Linked DNA regions of Xenopus tropicalis. The protein of the gene in region 1 purifies or fractionates together with the protein of each later gene. This does not show direct contact. Links are inferred from orthologs where the notes say so. Each region holds a gene or a part of one and is shown on either strand. Other genes may lie near its edges.

The links.
Region 2: the proteins of pinx1 (region 1) and tert purify together in Homo sapiens (co-immunoprecipitation; 3 studies listed by BioGRID and IntAct, with this or other methods). This does not show direct contact. The link is inferred for Xenopus tropicalis from reciprocal best matches to the Homo sapiens genes PINX1 and TERT.

What each region holds. Positions count from the first base shown.
Region 1 is NC_030681.2:151,067,327-151,071,080, reverse strand, and holds the start of pinx1 (PIN2/TERF1-interacting telomerase inhibitor 1), read right to left. Parts: upstream 2,438-3,754; 5' UTR 2,323-2,437; coding exon 2,304-2,322; intron 888-2,303; coding exon 778-887; intron 93-777; coding exon 1-92. UniProt on the Homo sapiens protein: Microtubule-binding protein essential for faithful chromosome segregation. Mediates TRF1 and TERT accumulation in nucleolus and enhances TRF1 binding to telomeres. Inhibits telomerase activity. May inhibit cell proliferation and act as tumor suppressor.
Region 2 is NC_030682.2:58,796,774-58,800,427, forward strand, and holds part of tert (telomerase reverse transcriptase), read right to left. Parts: coding exon 3,624-3,654; intron 2,414-3,623; coding exon 2,289-2,413; intron 1,477-2,288; coding exon 1,339-1,476; intron 1-1,338. UniProt on the Homo sapiens protein: Telomerase is a ribonucleoprotein enzyme essential for the replication of chromosome termini in most eukaryotes. Active in progenitor and cancer cells. Inactive, or very low activity, in normal somatic cells.

The DNA of each region.
Region 1 (3,754 bases):
TCATAGTTGATAGAGGCTCCGAGTCCCAGAGTGTTGTTCTTTACTTGCACCTTGATGTGGTCTGTGCTCCCTTGTTCCTTAGCTCCCAGCCCCTATAAGAGAAAAAAAGAGACAAACTTTAAAGTGGTTGTTCATCTTTAAATTAACTCTTAATATGATGTACACAGTGATAATGAGAGACAATTTGCAATCGGTCTTCATTTATTATTTCTGGTTTCTCAGTTAACTTTTTGTTCAGCAGCCTTGCCATTTGGAATATCAGCTGCTATCTAGTAGCTAGGGTTTTGTTTACCTTAGCAACCAGGCAGTGGCTTAAACAAGAGATTGGAATATTAATAGGAGAGGGACTGAATAGAAAGAAAAAAAACCAAATTATAAAATTGTAAGCTCACAGAGCAATCGTTTTTATCTGTCGGGGTCAGTGACCCCCATTTGAAAGCTGGAAAGATGTAGAAGTAGAAAGTAAATCATTCAAAAATGATAAAAAAAATAATGAAGACCAACTGCAAAGCTGCTAGGAATAGGCCATTCTATAACATAATAAAAGTTTAGTTAAGTTAAAGGTGAACCACCCCTTTAACATAGGGGGCGTTTATACTGTGACCAGGGCTCCACCCCCCTTATTGACCTAAATCATCCCAGAGAAGTTCAGTGTTTAGCGTTTATTTCTTTTACATTTCCATATCCCCAAAAAGTTGCCCCTCCCCCAGAGTGAAAGAAATGGCTAATAAAGTTACCATGATGACTCGAGTTGTGGCGGTATAAAGAGCTACCTACCTTGCCTTTGGACCAGCCCATCTTTTCCAGCATCTTCTGGCCAAATTTGGACTCATCCTTACTCCAGGCGCTGTTTCTTGGGTCTACCGACCATTTCTGTTTCCTACGGGCTAAAGGCAACAGCGCAGGTTATACCCCAAATGTGCCATTAAAGTAACACTGTTATGGGAAAACATGTTTTTTTCAAAACCCAGCAGTTAATAGAGCTTCTCCAGCAGAATCCTGCATTGTAATCTGTTTTTCCCATGGGGCTAGCCATATTCTTCATTTCCCAGGGTGCCACAGCCATGTGACCTGTGCTCTGATAAACTTCACTCACACTTTACTGCTGCGCTGCAAGTTGGAGTGATATCCCCCCCCCCCTCACCCCCAGCAGCCGATCAGCAGAACAATGGGAAGGGAGCAAGATAGCAGCTCCCAGTAGGTATCAGAATAGCACTCAATAGTAAGAAATCCAAGTCCGGCTTTGGACTCCTCCAGTTACATGGGAGTAGGAGAAACAATAGGTTAGCTGAAAGCAGTTCTAATGTGTAGCGCTGGCTGAAAGCTCAGACTCAGGCACACTTTACTGCTGCGCTGCAAGTTGGAGTGATATCCCCCCCCCTCACCCCCAGCAGCCGATCAGCAGAACAATGGGAAGGGAGCAAGATAGCAGCTCCCAGTAGGTATCAGAATAGCACTCAATAGTAAGAAATCCAAGTCCGGCTTGGGACTCCTCCAGTTACATGGGAGTAGGAGAAACAATAGGTTAGCTGAAAGCAGTTCTAATGTGTAGCGCTGGCTGAAAGCTCAGACTCAGGCACACTTTACTGCTGCGCTGCAAGTTGGCGTGATATCCCCCCCCCTCCCCCCCAGCAGCCGATCAGCAGAACAATGGGAAGGGAGCAAAATAGCAGCTCCCAGTAGGTATCAGAATAGCACTCAATAGTAAGAAATCCAAGTCCAGCTTGGGACTCCTCCAGTTACATAGGAGTAGGAGAAACAATAGGTTAGCTGAAGGCAGTTCTAATGGGTAGCGCTGGCTGAAAGCTCAGACTCAGGCACAAGGCACTGAGATGGCGCCTACACACCAATATTACAGCTACAAATACATTTGTTGGTTTAAGAATAAAAGGTTAAATGGCAGAGGGAATTATTTGCGGTGTAACAGTGTCATTTAGAAATAAAAAGTACCCCATAAATATCATGGCAGGGTCCCTTTAAGTTGCCACAACAATGATTGTTTCTGTTAGAAAGCATTGGTGGGGGGGATATCACTCCAACTTGCAGCGCAGCAGTAAAGTGAGACTGAAGTTTATCAGAGCACAGGTTACATGGCTGTGGCACCCTGGGAAATGAAATCATAGTAACTACAACTCCCAGCATTCCCAGTGTTACTAAGAGTTGTAGTTCAGCAGCAGGGGAGCCACACAGAGAGTCACATGGTGTGTAAGACACATGGCTGCCCCCCCACTGACACACTTGGTGCTGCAGCAGTGCAAGGGGCAGAGTGCAAGGCTAATGGCAGGCCCCCGGGCCACACTTACGCTCTGCCAGCATTGCCATGGTCCCGGAGCTGGAGGGCACTGCCGGGATAGATGTTCCTCAGGGCACAGCTGGGCGAAAAAGGAAATAATCCCGCGTCACAGTGACCGCGACACAGCGTGTTGATGACGTAAGGCCGGGCACAGAAGCTGCTGTTAGTCACGTGAGCGCCAGTAAAGGGGCGGGGCCACTGGTAAACGCTATATATATTCCTGCCGCCCAGTAACAGCCCTAGTATTGAGCAGAATGCGGAGTGTTATAGCGGGACTGTGAAACTGAACCTCTGCAGTCTGTATCGGTATAAACCGATTCTATACATTCGCCTTTTGGCTGCTTGGTGTTTGTTTTGCTCTAGCGTGAGGTAAATGAGAAAGGCGAATATCAATAAAACGTGCACATTTCTATAGGGTATCCGTGTGTGCGTTACACCACTTCCCCTTCAAAGGGACCCTGCCATGTTATTTATGGGACACTTTGTATCTCTAAATGACACTGTTACACAGCAAATAATTCCCTCTGCCATTTAACCTTTTATTCTTGTACCAACAAATGTATTTGTAGCTGTAATATTGGTGTGTAGGCGCCATCTCAGTGCCTTGTGCCTGAGTCTGAGCTTTCAGCCAGCGCTACTCATTAGAACTGCTTTCAGCTAACCTATTGTTTCTCCTACTCCCATGTAACTGGAGGAGTCCCAAGCCGGACTTGGATTTCTTACTATTGAGTGCTATTCTGATACCTACTGGGAGCTGCTATCTTGCTCCCTTCCCATTGTTCTGCTGATCGGCTGCTGGGGGTGAGGGGGGGGATATCACTCCAACTTGCAGCGCAGCAGTAAAGTGTGCCTGAGTCTGAGCTTTCAGCCAGCGCTACACATTAGAACTGCTTTCAGCTAACCTATTGTTTCTCCTACTCCCATGTAACTGGAGGAGTCCCAAGCCGGACTTGGATTTCTTACTATTGAGTGCTATTCTGATACCTACTGGGAGCTGCTATCTTGCTCCCTTCCCATTGTTCTGCTGATCGGCTGCTGGGGGGGAGGGGTGGGGGAGGGGGGATATTACTCCAACTTGCAGCGCAGCAGTAAAGTGTGAGTGAAGTTTATCAGAGCACAGGTCACATGGCTGTGGCACCCTGGGAAATGAAGAATATGGCTAGCCCCATGGGAAAAACAGATTACAATGCAGGATTCTGCTGGAGAAGCTCTATTAACTGACGGGTTTGTAACAAACATGTTTTCCCGTGTCAGTGTTACTTTAATTTAAAGTTGAAAGTTAACAGGACCTTCATTACAGTTACTATGGGTGAGCTCCATAGCAATCTCCCCAGCCCATGTCCAAGACGGAGCGGCTTGAGTCCCCGGTGCGCTTCCTGAGTTATGTAAGGGTTTAACATTCTGTTTCCACAGGATCCATAAGAGACGTGTCCATTCAGAGTCGTTGTCGCTCTACAGACA
Region 2 (3,654 bases), on another chromosome or scaffold:
TCATCATATTTTCATTCAGGCTGACCCCATGACTAATTCAAATTTGGGGAGTGCAGCCTCAAAGCTGTAAAATTGGCAGCAGTTTCAATTTCCACAGAAAAGTAAATGGGTGAAATTTGATTTGCTGTTGTTGGCCCCTCCCACTTTGGGATCATCCAACAAATGTCGCTGTTTCATTCGGGGTGACCCCATTATTATGTTATTCAAGTTTGGGGAGTGTAGCTTCGAAGCTGTAAGAGTGGCAGCAGTTTAAAAATCTTCCCTGTCAAAGTCAATGGGAAAACTGGGGTGTTCGGAGCGGCGTCACAAAAAGGCGGGATCAGTTAGAAAGCACAAGCAACCTGCTCCGCTATAGGGTGAAGAAGTGTGGAGAGTTTGGGTGTTGTACGCCTAAAACTGTAGGAGGAGCAGTGTTTAGAAAATGGGGGGCGCTAAGAATAATAAGAAAAAGCGGAAGAATAAGCTGAAGTCGAAGAACGGTATGTTAGGTTTTTCAACCCAACATAATTATCGTACCACAGTTATAGTTGAAATTACACTTGCAGTTGCTGGGTATTGTATGCATTTAATGTATTTAAAAGAAAACCATACCCAGCTGCAAACACAGGTAAAGATACACTATCAAAATAAAAATGTCAATACTTAAAAAGGAGGTGTTTTCTTACATTTAAAAAGGGGGTGGGGAACAAAGGGACAGACCTCTGGCTATCTGGCAGTATGCTTTATAGGACACTGACAGACAAACTTACTAGTTATAATAAACCACATGGTGTTTTGGCCCACACAAATTTAGTAAACACTTCTTATGTTATTGACCAGAGACCCTGGCGTTTGCTTGTCTAATATTTTATTATTAATGATATCACTGACTCTTTCCCTTAAAGAATTTTTGGATCTGTTGTTTTTCAGCTGTGCTGCATCTTGCCCGCCATTGCTTGCTATTCTTGTCTGTTTCTCATGACTTATTAACCCTGGTTTTTTATTTCCACACTTCTTTGCTTTAAAGGTTCGCTACAGATCTAGTCACCCATAGCAAACTAATTGGGAGCATTTATTAAAAGCAAACAGGTTGCTATAGGTTACTAGTTTGATGAATGTAACTCTAGACAGGTTACTGTCAAATTTTATGCCCATTATTATGTATGAGGGAAAGTAATCTGACTGACTGTTCTTCTTCTCTTTTACAATGCTATGCTTACATACAGCAACAATTAAAATTTTATCCATACACAGAGGGAGTTAAAGGATAGCTAAGTAGGGGGTATCAGGCATAGGTGGTACAAAGCAGAAACCATTAATCCTAGAAAAAGATAATTAAATACCATATCATTCACTCACAGTTATGCAGTGGCCCAATAAGACATTTGTATAATATTTTGTGATTGCGAAGCTTAGTAAGAAAAGCTTGATAACTGAGCCACTGGACTGCTTCAAAGTTAAACTGGCAGCTCACATCCTTGTACCCACGTGTGACATCTGTAAATGGTAGAACACAACGGTTACTGCTGTAAAAATTACATGTAAAAAGAAGTATTTACATGGTTGGCTGCATCCATAAGTGTGGTCGTAAATGAGGCATTGTAATTTTAATTTTATTATACAGTTCATACAGACAAATATATTTTAGCTAACCAAAATGTTAGTGGATGCCTGGCAATAAGATAAGATGGCTGTGCAGCTGTCATTTTTTACATTCCTGTCATACCCTGTAGCCTTCTACCAGTAAGAAACAATCTATGCTTTAGGGCATCTAATGGGCTTCAGTGTCAATGTTATTGTGATGTATTTTACATTGTAAAGCATTGCACTTTGAGCTTACAGTAACCCTTAGCAACCAATGACCAGTAAATCTACCAGGCTAATTTTTGGCTATGGGTTAATGCATCTGGGAAACTTACCCCAATATGTAATAAAAAGCACTACGTTGCTCAGATACCCAGGTGTAGTAATCCATAGCAAACTATAGGATTACTGCTTTTAAATAGTAAATGCTTCCTGTGAATAATTGCTATATGTGATTAGACCAGTAGCAGATGTTGAACCTTTTCTTACAATTTTTATTTGTGTCTCTAATTGTATAACCCTGTTAAGTGTAGCATTGGAAGTTTTCAAAATCTTTGTTCAGTGCCATCTTAAATGTAAAGCTTTCATTATTCAGGATTCTTGCTTAATGACACTATGTGGTGATTATAGTTTTTAACTGCTACTGATCACAGAGTCAGAATGGAGTGATGCAGCCATTTTAATTTTACTGCCCTTTTGTGACAGTTTCCTATACTTATACATACCTTTGTTTTTGGACTTAAAAGTAGTGTAAAAGCAAGGTGCCATATCAGAAATCACAGTAAGAAAAAAAGGTGGATTATTCATTACACGCTGGCCAAATGGAAGCTGAACAACACAAGCATGGAATCTGAATAAAAACAAAAATAGGCAATGTTTTTAAAAAATACACCAAAACCAGCATTATGTCAAGATTCCCAGCATTCATTCTTTTGAATTCTAACTTCTGATTGTAAAAGGCACAAAGTTTGCCCAGGTGCAATAACCCACAACAAACAAAAAGATGTTTGCTATAGGTTACTACAGGTGACTTGAATTTTTGGATTTTGTGTATGGATTAATGAAAAGGATCTTTCATAACATGGACGTATGTCTTTTTTCAACCCAACTTACTATGTTACTATGTAACACATCTGTATCTAAAACAAACTTATCATAATAATTTATTAAAAGGATACGGTCATGATTTTTACAGTATACTGTTTATTTCTAAATTACACTGTTTAGCAAACAATTCACTCCACCAATTTAAAATGAGCGTAGTGTGTAGTAGTGTGTAGGCAGCCATCTCAGTGCATTGTGCCTGAGTCTGAGCTTTCAGAAGGAGCCAGCGCTACACATTAGAACTGCTTTCTGGTAACCTGTTGTTTCTCCTACTACCATGTAACTGGAGGAGTTCCAGGCCGGACTTGGATTTCTTACTATTGAGTGCTATTCTGATATCTACTGGGAGCTGCTACCTTGCTAACTTCCCATTGTTCTGCTGATTGGCTGCAGGGAGGGGGGTGATATTACTCCATCTTGCAGCACAGCAGTAAAGTGTGACTTGAAGTTTATCAGAGTACAGGTCACATGGCTGTGGCACCCTGAAAAATGAAGAATAAGGCTAGCCCCATGTGAAAATTAAATATAAAAAAAATCTTCCAGGATTTCAATGCAGGATGCTGCTGGAGAAGCTCTCTAAAAAAACATACAACCAATACAACCAATGAGAAAGTAAAAAGAAATTTTGCGATTATGAAATATGTGCCTGATATTGAAAATATATTATTTGAACTTACTGTAGATCGTGACATCCAATCATTTCATTATTATTTCAGCCACTGAGAAGCATCACTCCTTAGTAAACACAGCAGCTGCATTCATTTTGGCACAACACAAATTGCAGCAATAACGGAAGATGAGTTATACCTAATTTTCCCATTAGATTAATTAGGCTTAATGTGGAGTCAATGGGAGATGGCCTTCCCTTACTAAGCATTCTACAGATCCCATACCCATATAATTTATATGACAGCATTTTATAAATTAACTTAATAGCAATAAATTAGCACACTAACCTGTAAGCTTGAAGTAAGAATATCTTATAAG